2 linked regions of the Anolis sagrei genome follow. The protein of the gene in region 1 purifies or fractionates together with the protein of each later gene. This does not show direct contact. Links are inferred from orthologs where the notes say so. Each region holds a gene or a part of one and is shown in the gene's direction. Other genes may lie near its edges.

Region 1 (12,732 bases):
CATCTTTTCCTCTAATATCCTTCCCTCCAATGAGCAGCCGGGCTTTATTTCCTGAAGTATGGACTGGTTGGATCTTCTGGTGGTCCAAGGCATGCTCAGAACTTTCCTCCAACAGCACAGTTCAAAAGCATCTATCTTCCTTCGCTATCTTCCTTCCCTATGGTCCCGCTCTCACACCCATAGGGGACTATGGGGAATACCATTGCTTTGACTATGCGGATCTTCGTTGCCAGTGTGATGTCAGTTAGTTCAACAGGCGGCAGCCAGATTACTAACCGAGACAGCATATAGGGAGCACACCACCCCCCTGCTATGCCAGCTCCACTGGCTGCCAGTCCATCTCCGAGACCAATTCAAAGTCCTGGTTTTGACCTATAAATCTCTATACAGTTCTGGCCCAGCTTACTTGTTCTAACTCATCTGCCACCTCGCAACTTAAGATCATCCGGGGAGGCCCTGCTCTCGCTCCCGTCAACAGCGCAAATGCAGCTGGTGGGGATAAGGAGCAGGGCCTTCTCGGCTGTGCCCCCCCCCCCCCGCCTATGGAACACACTCCCAAAGGAAGTAAGATCTGCTCCCTCTCTCCTGACCTTTAGGGAAAAAATTAAAATCATGGTTCGAGGACCAGGCCTCTGGACAATAGATGTATGCAGCTTTTTAAAGGGACAAGGACTGGAACGGCGACTCGACTGATGAGATTGTTTTATGGTTTTGATGCTTGATGATGTATTGCTTTTAATATGATTTATATCTAATGTGTGGTTTTACTATTGTAGTTGTAAGGCATTGAATTTTGCCATTATCTATGTGTAAACCGCTTTGAGTCCCCCTAGGGGGAGAAAAGTGGTATATAAATACTATAAATAAATAAATGTCCCTACTCTTTACTATTTTATCGAGATTGGTCATTGCTCTCCTCCCAAGAAGTAAGTGTCTTCTGATTTCCTGGCTGCAGCACTCTATGAAGTCATGCTGGCCATGACTTCATAGGTGTCTATGGACAATGCCAGCTCTTCGGCTTAGAAATAGAGATGAGCACCAACCCGCAGAGTCGGACACGAGTAGACTTTACCTTTACCTTTACCTTTAGGAATAGTGTGTGTGTGTTTGTGTGTGTGTGTACCATATGTCCTGGCGTAGTCTGCAGTAATCTTTGCACCTAGAAATACAACATCTGTCACTGCCTCCGCGTTTTCTCCCTCTATTTCCCAGTTGTCAATCATTCTTGTTGCCATGATCTTGGGGTTTTTTTATGTTGAACTGCAACCCAGCTTTTGCGCTTTCTTCTTTCACCTTAAATAGAAGACTCCTCAGCTCCTCCTCGCTTTCGGCTATCAAGGTGGTATCATCTGCATATCTAAGGTTGTTAATTATTCTTCCAGCAATTTTTACCCCAGCCTTGCATTCATCAAGCATGATAAACATGTAGTTTCCCCTTTAGTGGAGGAACAAGCAGAGCTTAAAAATCTTAAGTAAAGAGTAAGAGGCTTAGCCCAACATGAGATTGCATGGTTCAGGCCCTGCTTGCCTTTTATTACCCAAAGGCCAGCCAAGAGAAATAACCCAGCCATTGCTTCCTCCTTCCTATCTCAAGGGCAACCAGGAAAGAACAGACACAAACATACCTCAGTTATCCTTGGCGAAGAGATCTGCGGAAAATAATATATTAACCCAACGATCTCAGATCCTCCGCCTCTGAATGAGCGCGGTGCAGAGGAGAGCGATGCAGGACCTCTGCAAATCTTGGCCTCGGGGGGAGGGGTGGAATGTTCCATTCTGCTTCGCAGGGGCGAAGGTCTAGGAGGGCTCCCATTGGTCGCTCTCCACTTCCGTTCCTCCAATCCCATTTGCCAGCTGCAACATCCCAGGGAAACATGGCATTGATCCCGCCCACCGAGACACAAAGGGAGCATGTGCAAATTCTTCTAGGGGCCCTTCAACATATACATATGACTCAGAATATATCAAGGCAGGTAATCCACACTATCTGCTTTGAACTGGGTTATCTAAGTCCACACTGCCATATAACCCAGTTCAAAGCAGACAATGTGGAATTTTATACAGCTGTGTGGAAGGAGCCTAAAGAAGGATTTCAGGCAGTTTTTTTTGTTCTAGAGGAGAAATGCCTCTAGAACATGGCCCTATAGCCCGAAAAAACCTACAAGAACCCAGTTTTTTTTTATTAAGGAGCAGAGTTTTTTCCCCTATAGCCATGACTTTTAAGACTTCATTGGTTTTATTTTGAACTAGCGGTCACCTGCCACGCATTGCTGTGGCCCAGTCTGGTGATCTGGAAAATAAAGTAATGAGAAAGTGTTGGTTTCTAATATATGTAATATCTTGATGCTTGTGGGTAAACAGTATTTCTTTCTGTCTCTTTGTCAATGTTGATGTGGAGATTGTCTGGTCTGCCTGCTCTGGAACATGCAATATATCATTGTCCTTTTCAAATCTATGGTACTATATCTGTCATAAGCGTGTGTGTGTGTGTGTGTGTGTGTACGTGAATCATATATATTTATATCTATGGCTGGATGGCTCTTTGTCAGAAGGGCTTTATGTTTTTTTGCTTTGGTGAAGGGTGTTGGACTGGATGGCCTTAAAGCAGCATTTCTAAACCTGGGGTTTGGGACCCCTGGGGGGGGAGGCTGCGAGGGGGTGTCCGAAGGGTCACCAAAGACCACCAGAAAACACAGTATTTTCTGTTGGTCAGGAGGGTTCTGTGTGGGAAGTTTGCCCCAATTCTGTCGTTGGTGGGGTTCAGAATGCTTCTTGATTGTACGTGAACTATAAATCCCAGCAACTACAACTCCCAAATGTCAAGATTCTATTTTCCCCAAACTCCACCAGTGTTCACATTTGGGCATATTGAGTATTCGTGTAGAGTTTGGTCCAGATCCATCATTGTTTGAGTCCACAGTGCTCTCTGGAAGTAGGTGAACTACAACTCCAAAACCAAAGGACACTACCAACCAAACCCTCCTAGTGTTTTTCATTGGTCAGGGGAGTCCTGTGTGCCAAGTTTGGTTCAATTCCATCGTTGGTGGGGTTCAGAATGCTCTTTAATTGTAGCTGAACTATAAATCCCAACAACTACAACTCCCAAATGACAAAATCATAATTTTTGAGTGATGGTCACTCCTTGTGTCATGAGACATTCTGTTGCCAAATTTGGTGTGATTTCGTTCATTGGTTCTTTTGTTTTTAAGGTACTCATTATGCACAGAGCATTTTTATATATATAGAAGATAGAAGATAGATAGATAGAGAACAGTGAACTAGAACTGTTAATGCAGTTTGGGACCACTTTAGCAACCAAGACTCATTACTATGGGATCCTGGGAGTTGTAGTTTGGTGAGGAACTGACCTGCCAAGAAGCAGGAATATTGCATTCAAAGCACCCCTGACAGATGGCCATCCAGCCTCTGTTTAAAAGCCTCCAAAGAAGAAGCCTCCACCACACTCCAGGGTAGAGAGTTCCACTGCTGCACAGCTCTCACAGTCAGGACGTTCTTCCTAATGTTCAGATGGAATCTCCTTTCTTGTTGTTTGAAGCCATTGTTCCAAGTCCTAGTCTCCAGGGCACAAGAAAACAAGCTTGATTCCTCTTCCCGGTGACTTCTCCTCACATATTTATACATGGCTATCGTGTCTCCTCTCAGTCTTCTCTTCTTCAGGCTAAACATGCCCAGCTCTTTAAGCCGCTCCTCATAGGGCTTGTTCTCCAAACCCATTTCAGTCGCCCTCCTCTGGACACATTCCAGCTTATCAATATCTCCTTCAATTGTGGTGCCTAGAATTCGACACAGTACTCCAGGTGTGGTCTAACCAAGACAGAATAGAGGGGTAGCATGACTTCCCTGGATCTACTATTGATGCAGGCCAAAATCCCATTGGCTTTTTTTGCCACTGCATCACATTGTTGGATCATGTTTAACTTGTTGTCCACGAGGACTCCAAGATCTTTTTCATATGTACTGCTGTGGAGCCAGGCACCCCCCATTCTGTATCTTTGCATTTCCTTTTTTCTGCCAGCAACAATATTCTGGACAGCCCCAAATAAATTTGCTACAAACCAGGAAACCCTGGTTTGTAGCAAATTAATTAGATAGTGGGTTTATTCTGAGCCTTCTTGGAATGCACGGGATAAATTCGCTAGTTCCAGTTCTGGATTGCAGGATGGTATTCCCACTGTTTACAGGACTAAATAAGGAAGGGGCCAAAGAAAACCAAAATAATGATTGTGAATGTGGAGGGATGACTCCCTAATTACTGTTCCCCTTCCAAACATTGGCATAATAATATGTCACCCCGGATACAATTTTGTGCTTCAGGGAACTCCACACAAACATTTGCAAGATTTACTGGCAGATCTATTAAGGTCCATTCCATACAGCTGTATGAAATCCACATTGATCTGGATTATATGGCAGTGTGGGCTCAGAAAATCCAGTTCAAAGCAGATATTGTGGATTGTCTGCCTTGATATTCTGGGTTATAGGACCGTGTGGAAAGGCCCAAAGGGCGCTCCCAGACAGGCCCTATATCCCAGGATCTTTTCTGTTTATCCCAAATTATCTCGCAGTGTGGATTCATATAATCCAGTTTAAAGCAGAAAACCTGTGATCAGATCCTGGGACATAGGGCCCTTCCACACAGCCCTATATCCCAGAATATCAAGGCAGAAAATCCCACATTATTTGAGTGTGGACTCATATAATCCAGTTCAAAGCAGATATTGTGGAATTTTCTGCCTTGGTATTCTGGGATATAGGGCTGTATGGAAAGGCCATAGGGTCTCTTTGGAAGCCCCCTCAGGCTCCTTTCACACAGCTGAAAAATATCCCACATTTTCTGCTTAGAACTGGAATCTATGGCAATGTGGATTCAGATTTATTTATTTATCGTGTCATCAGCAACCATACCATTATATTATATTTCTAATAGAACAAAACAAACAAACAAACAGATTAAAAAAACACAGATTTTGCAAACTTGGTAGTTGATTAAATGTCCTTTGACCAGTATCTGGCCACTTGGAGTGCCTCTGGTGTTGCCGCAAGGAGATCCTCCATTGTGCATGTGGCAGGGCTCAGGTTGCATTGCAGCAGGTGGTCAGTGGTTTGCTCTTTGCACTCGCATGTCGTGGATTCAACTTTGTAGCCCCATTTCTTAAGGTTGGCTCTGCATCTCGTGGTGCCAGAGAGCAGTCTCTTCAGCACCTTCCAAGTCGCCCAGTCCTCCGTGTGCCCATGGGGGAGTCTCTCATCTGGTATCACCCACGGATTGAGATGCTGGGTTTGAGCCTGCCACTTTTGGACTCTCGCTTGCCAAGGTGTTCCAGCAAGTGTCTCTGTAGATCTAAGAAAACTATTTCTTGATTTAAGTCGTTGACATGCTGGCTGATATCCAAACAAGGCTTGAGCTGGAGATATCACTGCCTTGGTCCTTTCACTATTGGCTGCTACTTCCCGGCGGATGTCAGGTGGTGCAATACCGGCTAAGCAGTGTAATTTCTCCAGTGGTGTGGGGCGCAGACACCCTGTGATAATACAGCATGTCTCATTAAGAGCCACATCCACTGTTTTAGTGTGGTGAGATGTGTTCCACACTGGGCATGCGTACTCAGCAGCAGAGTAGCATAGCGCAAGGGCAGATGTCTTCACTGTGTCTGGTTGTGATCCCCAGGTTGTGCCAGTCAGCTTTCATATGATATTGTTTCTAGCACCCACTTTTTGCTTGATTTTCAGGCAGTGCTTCTTGTAGCGAGCACGGTCCAGAGTGACTCCCAGGTATTTGAGTGTGCTGCAATGCTCCAGTGGGATTCCTCCAGTGGATTCAAATAACCCAGTACAAAGCAGATATTGTGGGAGTTCCTGCCTTGATATTCTGGGTTATAAGGCCACAAGATCCCTCTTGTTTTTGCTGCCTCTAGGGGCCAGGGAGCTAGACCCTTCGAAACGTGTGTCTCTTTTTAGACGTTCCCTAAAACAGAATGTTCCATTTTCCGCTTGCGTTTAACTAGAGAACAAAGGAACCAAGCAGTGCTGTTTCTATTCCTCACTTCCGGTTCGCATTTGAGCAATGCAACATGCGGGGAAGAAGCATTTCATCTTCTCGAATGTAATTCTGCCTTGGACGCTTCATATTCGACTGGGAACCGGAAGTTTATTTGAGTCACTGAAGTCTCGCCGGAGTTGCCCATTACCCTTGCGATTGGCTTCCCTTTCTATTCTCGCGAGGTTTTGTTTTCATTTCCGGCACCCCTGACGCTAAGTGCCTCGTTCTGTCTCCTCGGACGTTGTGTTCCTCTCGCGCGCATGCGCACGCTCCCCACTCTCTTCAGCGGCGTCGGCGAAGTCGTTCGGAAGTTCAAAATGGCCGCGGCGACGGTAGTGGAGCTGGGACTGCAGGGCTCTGGGTAAGGCCGACCAGGTTTTTCCTTCTTAAAAAATACGCCTCGCTGTTGTCCTTTTAGGCCCTCTTTGACAAGGCGGGAGAGAGGAAGAGTAGAAAGAACAAAGGGAGGGAAGGAAGGAGCGCGTGCCTGAAGAGCCGTTATTGTGGTCGCGAGGCGGCCTTGGCTGGGCCTAGTAGTGCCTGAGCCTGGCCTTCAGAGTAGGACGGGCCTCAGGGCCCTTCCACGCAGCCGTATAACCCAGAATATCGAAGCAGATCACGCACAATATCTGCTTTGAACTGGGTTATCGGAGTCCACACTGCCATATAATCTGGTTCAATGTGGATTTTATACAACTGTGTGGAAGGGGCCTCAGACGATAGTTTTTCCCGCTACTTCTCCCTCCCCCCACATAATAAAACCTGTAACAGTTTCCCTCCCATATTTACGTGGGAGGAATTTGTTTGGCAACTACAGGCAGTGTCTTCCTTCATGTTTGTAGATTTATAGGCGTGGGGATATTTTCTCATACCATCTCTGAATTGTTTTTAAAATTCTAATTACAGTCCAGTAGGCTCTCAATTAACCAGAACTCAGGCAACTAGCAGAAAAAGAAGAAATAATAGTTTTTAAAAACCTGTTTTTATAATAGAATAGAACAGCAGAAGTGTTACCTTTAGTTAAATTTGTCACGATTTGCTTTTATTTCCTCTATTTCAATGTTATTATGTCGGTGCAGAGCTTATGGCATGTATAATATTAGTTAGGTCTATTTTTAACAGATAGGGCCCTTCCAGGCAGGCCCTATATCCCAGGTTTTCTTCTTTAAACTGGATTATATGAGTCTGCACTACCAGATAATATGGAATAAATAGAAAACCCCCGGGATCGCATCCTGGGATATAGGGCTTGTCTGGAAGGGTCCTAACTCTCAAGCAATTTTATGCGGCATGTACCAATCTCCATGGGTACCAGTTAAGCAAGGCCACTTCTACGCTTCCATGTAATTCAGATTATCAAAGCGGATAATCCACATTATCTGCTTTGAACTGGATTGTGTGAGTTAATACTGTTATATAATCCAGTTCAAAGCAAATATTCCGGATCTTATATGGCAGTGTAGGCCCTTTCTACACTGTCAGATAATCCAGATTATCAAAGTTGAAAACCCACATTATCTTCTTTGAATTGGATTATCTGAGTCAACACAGCCAGATAATCAATTTCAAAGCAGATAACCTGGATTTTATATGGCAATGTATAGGGCCCATAGAAGGGGCCTGAAAGCTCTTCGAGACAGGTCATATATCCCAGGGTCTGATCCCAGTTTTCTGCTTTAAACTGGATTATATGAGTCCCCGCTACCAGATAATCTGGGGTACGCAGAAAACCAGGGGTCAGATCCTGGGATATGGAGCCTGTCTGGAAGGGTCCTGAAAGTCTGCTATATTTTGTTTGTGCAGTTTGCTTCACAAACAAATATGCCTGTTCCTTGCATGAGTTGAAAATGGATATAGTATCCATGGGAAGTATTGGTATAGTTTGAGTACAGCCAGCCCGCCATATCCACAGATTTAGCTACTCATGGCTTGAAAATGTTCCAGGGGAGGGGAAACAAAACAAACTTTGTTTTTGCCATTTGATATAAGAGATACCATTTTACAATGCTATTGTGTATACCAGAGCTTTCCAAACTTTTCATGTTGGTGACACACTTTTTTTAGACATGCATTCTTTCTCGACATTAATCCAGTTTACTGGCAATCTTACTGGCAAAAACTATCTGTATTCTGCCCTATCTCCCTGGAACCTTCCACACAGTCCTATATCCCAGAATATCAAGGCAGAAAATCCCACAATATCTGCTTTGAACTGGGTTATCTGTGTCCACACTCAGATAATTTTGGGATTTTCTGCCTTTATATTCTTGGATATAGGGCTGTGTGGAAGGACGCCCTGAGGAGATGGTCCTAGAACTATACTCCTGGATACAAAGGGTTTGCTTTTGGTATTTATTTGAAATACTTTGGACCAGAAGTGTTTTCAGTTTGGAAGTGGAGTGGACTTTGGAATGCAGGCAGTCCCCAAGTTAGGAAGAAGATAGATTCTGTAGGTTGAATTTGGTTGAATTATTATTAGGTTGAATTTGTATGTAATTTAGAACAGGTACACTTTTAAAGTGTAACTCCAGCCATATAAAAGCTTTGGATACCGTAGCGAAGGGTTAACAACCCTGTGGTGTTTGTTTTCCTATCCGTGCCCCTGTTCAGAAGATTTCACCCCACTTTCTGTCCCTGTAATAATCTGATTTTGAAAAAATAGGCTTGTTGTGGAAACAAGAATTGGAGATAAAGTTTCAGTGGAGACTCCTTTTCTCTATGGGCCTTTCCACACAGCCATATAACCCAGAATATCAAGGCAGATACTCCACATTATCTGCTTGGAACTAGGTTATTTGAATCCACGCTGCCATATAATCCAGTTCAATGTGGATTTTATACAACTGTGTGGAAGGGGTAGATTTCTCTCGCTTCCTGTTACCTCACCCCTGTACTTAAGTAGGAGTTGCTTGTAAATCTGATGTTTGCAATTTAGGGACTGCGTGTAGTTGCATATAATTCATGAGATATCATGGGATGAGTTTCTGGTCTAAAAAATCATTTATAATTTATGTACATATTACATGAATATCATGAAGATGATCTTATACACAATATTTAATAATTTTGTGTATGAAACAAAAATTGAAGCATCAGAAAGCAAAATGTCACCATCTCAACCAGTAGCATTGACAGCTTTGGAGCATTTTGGATTAGCAGGTAATAGATACTTGACTTGTACAATCTTAAGTATCATGGTATTTAGAAATTTGGTTTCTCTTGAGAGTGCATGTAATAATTCTTTATATTCACTTAGTACTATTTACAGACAGGGCACTACTAGTGTTTAAAAATCTGTTTTATTTTTATAATGTGGTAATTGATTTTGTGAATAGGCATGCACTGCTAAAAATGCTTTTTATGACATTTGTGTTTTATTAGCAGTATTGGCGATTTCAGAACTAAAATGAGTGTCATTAGCTAGATTTTCTAATCAAAGGACTGACCTTAATCCTGTGTGCAGTGTGCCATTGAGCTGAAATGTTAACAAAATAAAGTGTGTAGCGGCTTCTATATATGCAGTTAAAAGCATATACTACACAGTAACTGCACATAAGTACAAAAAGAAGTTATAAAAACATTACAATAGTTTTGGCTCATGGATGTTTGTGTGGCTGTAAAACCAGTTCCCTAAAAGCAGCTGTTTATGTAAGTTTCCATGTTACTATAGAAAACAAATATACAAGTGAGGGAAAGTGCGCAGTGTTTCTCCACTAGCGCATTTGATTTCTGTCTTAAGGACAGGCAAAAGAGAGATGGTTCTCAGCCAGTACAGCAGTATTTCCTAAATTCTAATCCTCCAAGTTTTTTGGACTTCAACTCGAGAAACCTCAGCTGCTTTGGCATCCTGGGAGCTGAAGTCCAACAAAACAGTCGGAAAACCAGTCTGGAAAACACGGCAATAGAAAAATACCATGTGCAAGTAGGGGATAGGAATGTCATTACTTGCTCCTCCCCCCTCCCCCACAGTTGACTTAAAATAAGTACTAATATCTTCATTACACTTATTAAAAATATTTGATTACACAAGATTATCTTACATTGTTAGGGTTGAAAGATAATCAGAGTTAAAATATTCTGATGCTCCCATCTTACCCTACTCTCAAATTCCTCTGAATGATTTGTACTTTGAAAACATGTTTGGAGTTCGTGACAGTTCAGGAGTAAAACATTCTTCTTCTTAGGTACTATAAAAAGAGTGTGTAGGTAGTAAACTAATTGTTCAGCTTGCCCACAAAGGGTAAGATAAGAAGTAATAACTTTGATAACAAGAAGTTTCATTTTGGAGCATAGTTCTTTTCCCAAATTGTCTTTACCTTCAGGTACCATTTGCTTTTTAAAGCAGACCAGAACTGGTTCCCCACCTATGCCAGTCAATATTAAAATGTAATCCTGTCCTTGTATTCACCCCCCCCCCCTTACATAAAAACACCCACTCTTCAAATCAGGCATGAACAAACTTGGGCCCTGCAGGTGTTTTGGACTTCAACTCCCACAATTACTAACAGTCAGCTGTTAGGAATTGTCGGAGTTGAAGTCTAAAACACCCAGAGGGCCCAAGTTTCCCATGTCTGCTCCATAGTGTTGCCTGATGCTTGTCTGTTCGCAGGGCTGGATGTGTATTTAGGAGTCCTATTTTCTTGAAACAACTGACTCTGTAAATAGAAGCAGAGTTGGCATGAAAGAAAAGGACTATAAATAATCTTCTGGATGGGAGTTGTTGATGGAAAGATGTCTAAGACTAATTGCCAATATCCCATTTTTCACAGCTATATATCAGTAATTAGAACCATACTGCACAGCACAATCGTGCAGTACCATTTATGACCACAATGTGAATGTTTCAAAGATATTGGTTGTGTTTAGATCCCTGAATGAATAGCATAATGGAATTTTCCTGTTGAATTGTAGTATTTTATTTGACCCTGAAATATTCTTTTTTATATGTTGATAGTATTGACGAAGCTGATATTTCTGAGAGAAGTGCAAATGAAGAAAATGGAGATATTTCAGAAGGTGACCAACCTCAGACAAAGCACAACCGACATAAAAAAAAGAAGCACAAACATAGAGGCAAACATAAGAAACACAAACATTCTTCAGAAGAGGATAAGGACAAAAAGCATAAACATAGGCACAAGCATAAGAAGCATAAACGAAAGGAGGCTGCTGATGCTTCTGATAAGGAAGATGGGCCAGCAAAAAGAACTAAAATTGATTTCTTAGCGCCCCTGGAAGATTTAGAAAAACAAAGAGCATTACTTAAAGCTGAACTTGAAAATGAGCTAATGGAAGGAAAAGTTCAATCTGGCATGGGATTGATTTTGCAGGGTTATGAGTCAGGTTCTGAAGAAGAGGGAGAAATCAATGATAAAATGAGAAATGGGACTAGATCTTCAACTAAAGCATCTTCTATTAAGGCGAAACTAGAGATTGTGGACAATAAATCTAGTTCAAAGAAGCAGAGTAAGAGCAGATCAAAAGAACGGACTCGACACAGATCTGATAAAAAGAAGAGCAAATTAGGAGCTGATGGTATAAAGGAAAGAACAGCTAGAAGTAAATCAAAAGAGAGAAAAAAATCAAAAAGTCCATCAAAAAGAACCAAGTCTCAAGACCAAGTAGGAAAGTCAAAATCTCCAACCCTTAGAAGACGTTCTCAAGAGAAAAATAGGAAGTCGAAATCTCCAGAAGATAGGAGCAAAGCAGAAGAAAAGATTAAGTCAAGAGAGCGTAAAAAATCTCCAGTTGTTATTGAAAGTAAAAGCAAAGATCGTGGCAAAATATCTAAATCCCCAGTAGAGCAAAGGAGCAAATCCAAAGACAGAAGATCAAGATCTAAAGAGCGAAAATCTAGAAGATCAGAGACTGAAAGAGATAAAAAGCCCACTAAATCTCCTTCTAAAGATGCATCATCAGGGAAAGAAAACAGGTCTCCCAGTCGTAGACCTGGTCGTAGCCCAAAAGGAAGAAGTTTGTCTCCAAAACCACGGGATAAGCTAAGACGTAGCAGATCACCTCTCCTGAATGATCGCAGATCTAAACAGAGTAAATCGCCATCCCGAAATCGGTCTCCCAGTAGGAGAGCAAAAAGCAGATCATTAGAGCGAAAAAGAAGAGAGTCTGAAAGAAGACGGTTTTCTTCTCCCAGGTAATTTTAGCCAATAAAGCAATGGCTTGAATTTGTATTTCTGTGATGCTGGGAATGGGTTAACCTTCTTTTGTAATCCCCACACCCTCAAATCCCTTCTGTAGGGTTGTAGAAAGATCCAGAGCAGTGTAGGATATTATACTGGAAACAGAATGTAGAATCAACCCTTCTTGGAGCCTTCATTTGATGGAAAAGTACTTCATTTGTGGAGGGAGGTCTGGATTTGATTCAGGGAATATAATGATGAAGAAAGTGATGCAAGTAGAAGCACAGTATAACTGCTAAGACTTAATGTTGTGGGATCATAGAAGTTGTAGTTTTGCAAGGTATTCAACTTTGTGAGAGCTGTGTTTAGCAGTGGAACTCTGCCTTGGAGTATGGTGGAGGCTGCTCCTTTGGAGGCTTTTAAGAGGAGGCTGGATGGCCATCTGTAAGGGGTGCATTGAATGTGATTTTCCTGCTTCTTGACGGGGTTGGATTGGATGGCCCACGAGGTCTCTTCCAACTCAATGATTATATG
Region 2 (12,515 bases), on another chromosome or scaffold:
GTTTTTAGACAGTTCCACATTCTATTTCACTGTTTATTATAGCCTTTAGGCTATAATGGCATATTGTATTGTTTTTGCCACAGTTCACCACATCGAGTGTCTTTCAGAGAAAAAGAAGTAAAAAATAACAATAATACACACCAAGATTATAACTGTGAGCTAAAACGATTTTAAACACGCAAAAGGGTGGAAACTAGGCCTGGGTGGTTTCGTTCGTTAATTTTGTAATTCGTTAAATATTCGTTATTTTTAGCAATTACAAAACGATTACAAAACATATTTTCAAACCCGGAAGTGTTTTTAAATATCGAAACGGCATCCTCCATCTTTTTTATGGGCTTCCGCCCGTTTCGGAAATGACGTTTTAGGGATGGAGGATGCTGGGTGCGCTGGGAGCCAATCCTGCACTCCCAAGCACTGTGGCTGATTGTGATTGGGCGGGCTGCTCTTTAAAAGCGGCTCCGCGTGGCCGCATTGCTCATTGCTGGGGAAGGCGAGGAGACGGGAGGTTCGGGAGGGAGGCTTGGCTTGCATTCATTCATTGCTTGCATTCATTCATTCCCTGGGCTGGGAGCAGCGGGGAGGCTTTGCCGTTCGCTCCACAACAGGGCAAGCATTTTTAAATATTTCTGAAAAATATCTTTCTTTTATTCTTAAAAAAATTCAAAAAATATTCTAAAAAAAGAAAAGACCCTTGTGTGCCTGTGTGTGTGAGTTTGTCCCCGTCCTGTGGCTGTGTTCGCTCCACAACAGGGCAAGCATTGTTAATTTTCCATTTTTAAATATTTCTGAAAAATATTTTTCTTTTATGCTTCAAAAAATTCAAAAAATATTCTAAAAAAAGAAAAGACCCTTGTGTGCCTGTGTGTGTGAGTTTGTCCCTGTCCTGTGGCTGTGTTCGCTCCACAACAGGGCAAGCATTGTTAATTTTCCATTTTTAAATATTTCAAAAAATATTTATAAATAAATATTTCAAAAAAATTCAAAAAATATTCTAAAAACGAAATTAACGAAATTTCGTAAATACTGAACTTTTTCAAAGGAAAATTTTGTAATTATTTTAAATATCGAAACGCAAAAACCCCCCAAATACAAATCGATTTTAGAAACAAATTTTTGCGTTGTTGCCCAGGCCTAGTGGAAACCTCAGCCCTATTCAAAACAGCACTGGATTGAAAATATAACGAAGAGAGGGCTAAAAGTGTTGCTAGGCAAAAGGCACCTGCATAGCAACCGATTAATGTCTGGACATCTATCTAATTAAAAGAAGATATTCATCACTGGATCAGTTTTGGAAGCAACCACCAAAATGGCCTTCTCCGGAGATTTCTTATGGGATTTTATTTATCATGTCAGGAGCAAGCCAAACAGTTGTATTGCATTTTTAAACAAACAAACAAACAAAACACAAAGTTTGCAAGATTGGTAGTTGATTAAATGTCCTTTGACCAGTAGCTGGCCACTTGGAGTGCCTCTGGTGTTACTATAAGAAGGTCCTCCATTGTGCATGTGGCAGGGCTCAGGTTGCATTGCAGCAGGTGGTCAGTAGTTTGCTCTTCTCCACACTCGCATATCGTGGATTCCACTTTGTGGCCCCATTTCTTGAGGTTGGCTCTGCATCTCGTGGTGCCAGAGTGCAGTCTGTTCAGTGCCTTCCAAGTCACCTAGTCTTCTGTGTGCCCAGGGGGGAGTCTCTCATTTAGTATCAGCCATTGATTGAGGTTCTGGGTTTGAGCCTGCCACTTTTGGACTCTCGCTTGCTGAGGTGTGTCCAGCGAGTGTCTCTGTAGATCTTACACAACTATTGATTTAAGTCATTGACGTGTTGGCTGATACCCAAACAGGGGATGAGCTGGAGATGTCACTGCCTTGGTCCTTTTACTATTGGCTGCTACTTCCCGGCGGATGTCAGGTGGTGCAATCTAATTAAAAAAGATATTCATCACTGGATCAATTTTGGGAGCAATCACCAAAATGGCCATCTCCGGAGATTTCTTATGGGATGCATCTACACTGCAGAATGAATGCAGTTCAACTGCTATGGAGTCCTGGGAGTTGAAGTTCGGTGTGGCACCAGCAGAGAAGGATAAAGACCTTGGGATACTACAACTCCCAGAATTGCATAGCATTGAGCCAGGGCAGTTAAAGTGATGCCAAACTGCATTAATTCTCCAGTGCAGAACGCACCATGTTAGCTGCCTTGAGCTTTGCTTGAGAGAGAAAAAGTGAGATATAAATACCAATAACAATACTATGGAGATGCTTTACCAAGGGCGTATCTACATTGTTGAATGAATGCAGTTCAGCATTACTTTATCTGCCTTGGCTCAATGCTATGCGATCCTGGGAGTTGTAGTTTTGCAAGGTCCAAGGGTACTAAGATCATCTGGGGAGGCCCTGCTCTCGGTCCCGCCTGCATCACAGGCACGCTTGGCGGGGACGAGAGACAGGGCCTTCTCAGTGGTGGCCCCTCGGCTGTGGAACGCCCTGCCTGCAGATATCAGATCGGCTCCCTCCCTGCTGGCGTTTTGGAGGAAAGTGAAGACCTGGCTGTTCGAATAAGCATTTGATTAAACAGTGTAATTGAACATAGGAATACGGAATAATGGATGATGAGACTGGATTCTGATTTTACTGTTGAGGCACTAATTATTGTTATACGGATGTTAAATGATTTATGTTACAATTGTTCTTAATTGCCCTATGCTTGTCTCGTGATGTTTTGTATTGATGTTGTTCACCGCTTTGAGTCACCTGAGGGCTGAGAAAAGCGGTATATAAAATAAATAAATAAATAAATAAATAAATACAAACTGTAACTCCCAGGATTCCATAGCATTGAGCCAGGGCAGTTAAGGTGATGCCAAACTGCATTAATTCTACATAGCAATTGGTATATATTGCAATGATAATACTTTCCAACCTTTCTGCTATCATTTCATGTTTAAAATCCCTTGACGTTTGGCCTTCTTCTTCTTCTCTAGGATTATCATAAAGGGCTTATTAAAATGCTCATTTTGGAGAGAAGGGGCCCAGTTGGAGCTCACGCCTAGCAAGCCAGCTTTGATTTGTGCCAGAGTTTCATTCTGTTTGATGATTTGGCTCCTTGAAGTTGGAAGCAAACCATTTATTCAGCTTACTTTGTATTATTTGTTGGGTCTGAGCTCCCTCTTGCGTTTGCAAACACAAAAGCCACCCTGTACGGTTGAGCATCCTTTATCCGAAATGGACCACATTTCTGATTTTATCTGGATTTTGCCATCCTTGCATAGATATCATTAGATATCTTGGAAAGCCAACTCCCTAATGAACTTTCCAAACCTTCATGGGTACATCCACACTGCAGAATTAATGCAGTTTGACGCCGAACTGTCATGGATCATTGCTATTGAATTAAGTTTCTGTGTTTCTATTGCATTTTCATTTCTAAGAAATCAAATTAAGAAATCAAATGTATTATTAATATTGGTAATACTACTGTTTGTTTTTGTTGTATTTAAATCTATATAAATAAAAATGTAGTGTTCGTTTGTGAGATTAAGAGAACTCAAAAACCACTGGACGAATTGACACCAAATTTGGACACAAGACATCTAGCAACCCAATGTATGTCCTTCTCTAAAAAAATTGATTTTGTCATTTGGGAGTTGTAATTGCTGGGATTTATAGTTCACCTGCAATCAAAGAGCATTCTGAACTCCACCAATGATGGAATTGAACCAAACTTGGCACACAGTTCTCCCATGAGCAACAGAAACTACTGGAAGGGTTTGGTGGGCATTGACCTTGAGTGTTGGAGTTGTAGTTCAACTATATCCAGAGAGCACTGTGGACTTAAACAATGACCAAACTTGGCACAAATACTCAATATTTAGCGATTCGGCTGAAAAGGATGCAGAGCTGCAATCATTCGCCAAGCTAATCATGTGGTTACACAAATAAATGCCACTTTTATAGAAATGCAGAGTTGTGTGGTTCAAATCTCCCACTCCCCGCCCTCCACTTGGCTGATGCCACAACAGCTGGGAGGAGGCTCAGCTGCCCTCTGAGCGCGTGGGACAATCACAGGGCTGCTGCGGTGCGTCTGGGCCAATCAGAAGGGCTGAGAAATAAATAAATAATGTGGGACTGTCCAGAACATTGTCTGGACAGCCCTTCCTTTATTGCAGGAGTTCCTGCAATAAAGGTCTTGTCTGGATGGGCCCTCTGAGAAAGATTGCTGAAGGCCTCTCCCAGGAATGTGACCTTGTGAATCTTCATGGGACATCTTGGGCCTCTCGTCTGGGGTTAACTCAAGCCCAAGCAAACCCTCATCCCCATTGCTGACAGACCCAGGCCCAGAAAGCCCTTCATTTCCATTTCTGTCATGACCATCAGACACAATCACAGGCTGAACTACAACACCATACCCATTTTGTCACTTGCTATCTTGACATTATGTCCTCTCCATAAACTGAAATGATTTCACCATGAATCACAGTGGCGTTCTTGCCCTTAGCATTTAGGTAGCATATTACAGTGCGAACTTTGCACTTGGAGGGAAACAGAATGAGGGTGCACATCTCTAACCTTCACCAAAACGCCAGTCGATGAGCTGCTGACAACTGGCACTGCTCATTAGCTACATGGAAGTGATGCCAACTTCCCGAGAAAATTCCCTGCGAGAGCTACGTGCCTTGTAATCTTGTTTTCCAGATAAACCTTGTACTTTAAAAATGTATTGCATTTTAATTCTCACGAAATAAAAGCTATCACTACTTTTTATGTTTGCATTGCATTTAAATTCTTAAGAAATAAATTTATTATTATTCATAGTTTGTGTTTGATTGAATTTCAACTGTTAAGAAACAAAAGGTATGATTATTTATACTTTTTGTTGTATTACTTTTTAAGAAATAAAGGTGCTAATATTCATGTTTGTTTTATTGCATTTTAATTAATACAAATATTATTCACAGTTTGTGTTTTTATTGCATTTTAATTGTTTAAGAAACAAAAAGTATTATTAATATATATATATATATATAATAAAGGTGCTAATATTCATGTTTGTTTTATTGTATTTTAATTAAGAAATAAAACATATTATTATTCACAATTTGTGTTTTTATTGCATTTTACTTAAGAAACAAAATGTATTATTATATATATAATAAAAAGTGCTAATATTCATGTTTGTCTTGTTGCATTTTAATTAATAAAAATATTATTCAGTTTGTGTTTTTATTGCATTTTAATTCTTTAAGAAACAAAAAGTATTATTATTATATATATAATAAAGGTGCTGATATTCATGTTTGTTTTATTGCATTTTAATTAAGAAAATTAAAAAAATATTATTATTCAGTTTGTTTTTATTGCATTTTACTTAAGAAACAAAAAGTATTATATATATCTATAATAGTGCTAATATTCATGTTTGTTTTATTGCATTTTAATTAAGATATAAAATTATTATTATTCAGTTTGTATTTTTATTGCATTTTACTTAAAAAACAAAAAGTATTATTATATATATATATATATAAAAGGTGCTAATATTCATGTTTGTTTTGTTGCATTTTAATTAAGAAATAAAAATATTATTCACAGTTTGTGTTTTTATTGCATTTTAATTCTTTAAGATACAAAAAGTATTATTATTATTATTATTATTATTATTATTATTGATGCTACTCCTCCTTTTACTTCTCCATTGAGAATGCAGCTCCCTCATTGGCTACCCACTTTCCCCCGTCGCCCCGCCTCTCTCTCTTTCCCCGGCTCTGATTGGCTATCCGGGCCCTTTCCCCGCTTGCCTTTTTGCTCACGCGCACTTCGCATCAACTCAGTCCCTTCTTTCCTCCCTTATTGCCTACCCACTTTCCTCCATTGCTCCGCCCACCTCCCTTTCCTTGGCTCCGATTGGCTACCGGGCCTGCCTTATCACGACTCCACTTTGATTCCCCGCCCTTTTTTCTGCGCAGGCGCAATTTGGTAGTCTCAATCTTTTTTTTTTTCCTCCCTCAGCTCTATTTAGAATTCAGCTTTCTTATTGGCTAACGACGCCTCCCGTCGCTCCGCCTCCCGGCTGTCCTCTACTGCGCACGCGCATCGAGGACCACGCCCACTTTTCCGCCTCCTTTTTTCCTAGAGCCGCCTCGCGCTCGCCGTTGCCGTCGCGCCCGGATGACGTTGCGCCATGGCCGCCCTGCTTCGCCGCCAGTAGGGAGGCCATTGCCGCGCCGCTTCAGGGAACGGCTTCTCCCCGCCTGCCCCTTCCCGCCCGCCCACCCGCCTGCCTGCCTTTGGCGGCTGCCGCTCCCCGACCCCTCCCCGCCGGGCCAGGTGAGGAGCGCGAGGCCTGAGGCCTACTCAGCCCGCACAGAGATATCTCTCTCTCTCTCTCGGGAACGAATTCTGCCGGGCCTTTGGAGCCGTATGTTAGTGCTCTGTCTGTCTATCTGTTTATCTCTCTATCATAGGATCCTCGAGCTGGAAGGGACACCCAATTCAACCCCGGGATGTGTATGTGTATAGCAGGGCATGAACAAACTTTGGCCCTCAAGGTGTTTTGGACTCCCAACTCCCACAATGTAAGGGAGTTGGAGTCCAAAACACCAGGCCGAAGTTTGCCCATGCTTAATGTATAGAGATCTATCTATCTTTCTATCTATCATAGGCTCCTAGAGCTGGAAGGGGCCCCAAGGGCCATCCAGCCCAGCCCCTGGATGTGTGTTTAGAGTTCTTTTTATCTACCTACCTATCTATCAGTCAATCAGTCATGGGATTCTAAAGCTGTAAGGGACCCCCAAGTGCTACCCAGTCCAGACCCTGGATGTGTGTTTAGAGTTCTCTTTTTCAGTCAGTCAGTCAATCAATGTATGTGTCTAGAGATCTGTCTATGTCTCTATCTTTCTATCTATCATAGGATCTTAGAGCTGAAAGGGGCCCCAAGGGCCGTCCAGTCCAGACCCTGGATGTGTGTTTAGAGTTCTCTTTTTCAGTCAGTCAATCAGTCATGGGATTCTAAAGCTGTAAGGGACCCCCAAGTGTTACCCAGTCCAACCCCAGTATGTATGTGTCTAGAGATCTGTCTATGTCTCTATCTTTCTATCTGTCATAAGATTCTAGAGCTGAAAGGGGCCCCAAGGGTCATCCAGGCCAGATCCTGGATGTGTGTTTAGAGTTCTTTTTATCTATCAGTCAATCAATCATGGGATTCTAAAGCTGTAAGGGACCCCCAAGTGCTACCCAGTCCAACCTTGGTATGTATGTGTCTAGAGATCTGTCTATCTATCTATCATAAGATTCTAGAGCTGTAAGCGGCCTCAAGGGCCATCCAGGCCAGATCCTGGATGTGTGTTTAGAGTTCTTTTTATCTATCTATCAGTCAGTCAATCAATCATGGGATTCTAAAGCTGTAAGGGACCCCCAAGTGCTACCCAGTCCAACCTTGGTATGTATGTGTCTAGAGATCTGTCTATCTATCTATCATAAGATTCTAGAGCTGTAAGCGGCCTCAAGGGCCATCCAGGCCAGATCCTGGATGTGTGTTTAGAGTTCTTTTTATCTATCTATCAGTCAGTCAATCAATCATGGGATTCTAAAGCTGTAAGGGACCCCCAAGTGCTACCCAGTCCAACCTTGGTATGTATGTGTCTAGAGATCTGTCTATCTATCTATCATAAGATTCTAGAGCTGTAAGCGGCCTCAAGGGCCATCCAGTCCAGACCTTGGGTGTGTGTTTAGAGTTCTTTTTATCTATCTATCAGTCAGTCAATCAATCATGGGATTCTAAAGCTATAAGTGCTACCCAGTCCAACCCCTGTATTTATGTGTCTAGCGATCTGTCTATGTGTCTTATCTTTCTATCCATCATAAGATTCTAGAGCTGAAAGAGCCATCCAGTCCAACCCCTGGATGTATGTGTGTATCGAGATCAATCAATCAGTCAACCATAGAATCGTTACCCCTGTATATATGTGTGTATAGAGATCTATCTATGAATCTATCTATCTATCATAGGATCCTAGAGCTGGAAGGGACCCCAAGGACTACCTGGTCTAACCCCTGATGTCTGTGTGTATAGAGATCTATCAATCAATCAACCATAGAATTGTTACCCCTGTATGTATTTGTGTATAGAGATCTATTGATGTATCTATCTCTCTATTTATCAGGATCCTAGAGCTTTAAGGAACCCCAAGGGCCATCCAGTCCAACCCCTGGATGTATGTGTGCTTAGAGCTCTATCTATCTATCTATCATAGGATCCTAGAGCTGGAAGGGACCCCAAGGGCTATCCTGTCCAATCCCTGGATGTATGTGTGTATAGAGATTTATCTATGAATCTATCTTTCTGTCTATCATAGGATACTAGAGCTGGAAGGGACCCCTAGGGCTGCCCAGTCAAACCCCTGGATGAATTTTAGGGTTTGTTCTTTTTATCTATCATAGGATTCTAGAGCTGGAAGGGACCCCAAGTGCCCCCAGTGCAATCTCTGTATGTGTGTATAGAGGCCTATCTATTTATCATACGATCCTAAAGCTCTAAGGGACCCCAAGGGCCATCCAGTCCAACCCCTGAATGTATGTGTTTTTAGATATCTTTATATCAATCATAGAATCATTGAGTTGGAAGGGATCCCAAGGGTCATCCAATGCAGCCCCTGAATGTGTATTTAGAGTTCATTTTATCTATCTATCATAGGATTCTAAAGCTGCAAGGGGATCCCTGGTCCAACCCCTGATGTCTGTGTGTATAAAGATCTGTCAGTGAATCAATCAATCATAGAACAATTACCTCGTTATGTATGTGTGTATAGAGATCTATTGATGTATCTGTCTTTCTATTTATCATAGGATCATAGAGCTGTAAGGAACCCCAAGGGCCATCCAGTCCAACACCTGGATGTATGTGTGTTTAGAGCTCTATCTATCATAGGATCCTAGAGCTGGAAGGGACCCCAAGGACCACCCAGCCTCTGCTTAAAAACCTCCAGATAAGGAGATTTCCTCACACTCCGAGGCAGTTTATATTCCCCTGGTAACCAGGTACCCTGAAATGCCATCCAATCCAACCCCATTCTGCCAAGCAGGAAAGACACAATCCTAACAGATGGACTCTGCTTGAAAAATCTCCAGAGAAAAGCAAAAAGAAATCCAGTTCCATATTCCATAGTTGAACATCTCTTATCGTCAGGATGTTCTTCCTAATGATTAGGTAGTACAATATCTCTGTTCCTGCTTTTGGAATCTATTCCTCCATTGTGTCCTGGTTCCTACAGCTGCAGAAGACAAGCTTGCTCTCTCCTGAATGTTGCATCCTTTTAGATATTTAAACATGGCTATCATTTCTCCTCACAGCCTTCTTTTCTCCAAGCTAAGCATCCCCAGCACCCTAAACCAGTTTGGCAGTTTTGACCGTCTTTCTCTGGATATATTCCAACTCATCCATATCCTTCTTGAGTTGTGATATTCAGGTATAGGGTTGTTCCAGGTGAGGTCTGACCAAAGCAGAAGAGAAGGGGACTATGATTTTCCTTAATGTAAACATTAGACTTCGATTGAGTCACAATGGACTAGGTAGGTTTTAGGCCTGGTCCAGCATGGCTCCTTGTATTAATCTAGATCCTTTTGTGTGTGCTATGCCATTCATTGATAGCCACACGCTATGAAAAGATGCCTTGTACTGAATCGTACCATTGCCCTGAGTGTTGTTCATAGCCTCTAGCAGAGACATCTCTTCTCAGCTTCACATGATCCTTTCGACCAGAGGTTAGTACTGAATCTAGAGCCCCCTTCATGTTCCTGGGAGGTGACACTTGTAGGGAACTCTGTGGTAATGTGAGAAGCATGATTCAGACTAGCAGTTTCATTGTTCATTTGTTGATGTCCTCCCAAATTGTGTTTTTCTTTCAACTATCAGTGGGAACCATGTTTTTAACTCATCTTTAGAGACTTCATATATTATGCTTTCACATTGTAAGCAAGTTGTGTTGAGATGAAGTTAATATCTGATTTGGCTTAATAACTTAAGATTGTAATTAGAAAACAACTGGTACTGCAGGCCTTTTTTTGATCATGGATGTGTTTGATGTCTACTTTGACCTCTGCAGTAGTAGTATCTGAATGTCTAATTTGTGGGCAGCTTACCCACGCTATCCTTTATTACCTAGAGCCAATGTTTAACAGAAAGCGGTTAGAAGCATTTTCAAATCCTGAAACGTTAGTTCAGTTGACACTTTGGGGAAATTTGATAGTCTAAAAATGCTGGAAGGATTAATCCTGTCTTATTCAGGATCATTCTGACTAAATCTATTCTAATGCCTGTGTCCTGAATCTGTCCTAATGCCTATGTTTGGACATGTTTATATTGTGTCGTCACAGCATTTGAAAGTTAAACTTTTTAAAGCTTGTTGGTTGCCTACCAGTATATTCCATACATTTTTTTTTCGTGTCAGGAGTGACTTGAGAAACTGCAAGTCGCTTCTGGTGTGAGAGAATTGGCCGTCTGGAAGGACGCTGCCTAGGGGATGCCTGGATGTTTTACCATCCTGTTGGAGGCTTTTCTCATGTCCCCGCATGAGAAGCTGGAGCTGACAGATGGGAGCTCACCCCGCTTCCCGGATTCAAACTGCCAACCTTTCGGTTAGCAGTGCTGCCGGCACAAAGGTTTAACCCATTGCGCCTCCAGGGGTTCCTATCATTCCAAACAATGATAGCTGATCACTACATATCATTTTGTCAGTCTCCATCATTTGCAGAATGTTTGTTTTGGTGGTCTAGTAGTACAGACCATAAATATTTCCTTCAGGAGAAAGGAGCAATATATACAGAAGATTACTGAGCAGTATGGAGAGATGTTTTAGGGACCAGCATGGTGCAGTGGCTTGAGTATTAACTTTGCAGACCAGGGTTCAAATCCCACTTGGGCATGTCACACCCTCTCAGCCTCAGAGGAAGACAAAGATAAAACCCCATCTAAACTAATCTTAACAAAAAAAAACCCTTGTGATATGCTTGCCTCTCCTAAAAATATACTTTGTAGTGTGCCCCAAGTCTGGGATTAGAAACCCAAGTGTGCCATGATTTTATGTGTTCTTCAGTCTGAGTAAGTCTCTGAATTTTGTGCATGTATTGGCTTTATGTGACATTCACTTTACAGAGAGTTAGAGAATGGGATATTATGCCACTGAAGCAGGTGATTTAAGGAAAGAATAAGCTAAATTAGGTTGCTTTGAGTTTTCCAGGCTGTCTGGCCATGTTCCAGAAGCATTTTCTCCTGATGTTTCACCCACATCTATGGCAGGCATCCTCAGAGGTTGTGGGGTTTGTTGGAAAGAAGGCAAGGAGGGTTTATATATCTGTGAAATAATGTCCAGCGTGGGAGAAAGAACTCTTGTCTGTTTGAGGCAAGTGTGAATGCTGAACCTTGATTAGCAGTTAATAACCTTGCAACTTCAAGGCTTGGCTGCTTTCTGCCTGGAGGAATCCTTTGTTGGGAGGTGATTAGCTGGCCTTCATTATTATGTGTGTGTAATTTCCCTGTTTTCTGAGTGTTCTTCATTTACTGTCCTGATTTTAGAGTTTTTTAATACTTACAGCCAGTTTGTGTTCATTTTCATAGTTTCCTCCTTTCTGTTAAAATTGTCCACATGCTTGTGGATTTCGATGGCTTCTCTGTGATGTCTGATATGGTAGATGTGAGAGTGGTCCAGCATTTCTGTGTTCTCAAATAAAATTCTGTGTCCAGGTTGGTTCATCAAGTGCTCTGCTAAATAGGCAAAATTGTCGCTGTGTGCATAATGGCTGGGACTGACTCACCTGGTAAACTGTAGATATCACTCATGTTTAATTTCACAAGGTCAGAAGCATGGATTTGGATGAATACTTGAGATGTTATGTTTTTTCTTGTGTTTCTACACAAGTTGCTGGGTTTACTGCTTACATGGGGCACTAGGTTGCTGTCTTGTGCACTGTGTCCTTTGTGGCTCAGCGTGAGGGGGGATCATTCTTTGAAATCCATTGTCATGGACAAAACTGTAAGACAGAGGTCCTCAAACTATGGCCTGGGGGCCGGATACGGCCCTCCAAGGTCATTTACCTGGCCTTCGCTCAGGGTTAACCTAATTCTGACACAACAACAACAATCCTATCTCATCAGCCAAATCAGGCCCACATTTCCCATTGAAATACTAATAAGTTTATATTTACGAACCACGGAGGACTTTAAGATCATCTGGGGAGGCCCTGCTCTCAGTCCCACCTTCGTCACAAGCATGTTTGGCGGGGACGAGAGACAGGGCCTTCTCAGTGGTGACCCCTCGGCTATAGAACGCCCTCCCTAGGGAGATCAGATCTGCTCCCTCCCTCTTGACGTTTCGGAGGCAAGTTAAAACATGGCTATTTGAGCAAGTGTTTACAAATACAGAGTAGCTAATATAGGAAATCGAATGACCTGACAATGGAACTGGACAATGCTTGAGAATAATGCGACTCTGATGATGTTGTTTTTACTGCTTTTGTGATGT

The links.
Region 2: the proteins of PRP4K (region 1) and ZC3H18 purify together in Homo sapiens (co-immunoprecipitation; 4 studies listed by BioGRID and IntAct, counting the BioPlex papers as one, with this or other methods). This does not show direct contact. The link is inferred for Anolis sagrei from reciprocal best matches to the Homo sapiens genes PRP4K and ZC3H18.

The regions. Positions count from the first base shown.
Region 1 is NC_090024.1:86,945,380-86,958,111, reverse strand, and holds the start of PRP4K (serine/threonine-protein kinase PRP4 homolog), read left to right. Parts: upstream 1-6,296; 5' UTR 6,297-6,321; coding exon 6,322-6,422; intron 6,423-11,015; coding exon 11,016-12,212; intron 12,213-12,732. UniProt on the Homo sapiens protein: Serine/threonine kinase involved in spliceosomal assembly as well as mitosis and signaling regulation. Connects chromatin mediated regulation of transcription and pre-mRNA splicing.
Region 2 is NC_090028.1:26,526,131-26,538,645, forward strand, and holds the start of ZC3H18 (zinc finger CCCH domain-containing protein 18), read left to right. Parts: upstream 1-6,120; 5' UTR 6,121-6,327; intron 6,328-8,089; exon of another isoform or gene 8,090-8,109; intron 8,110-12,515.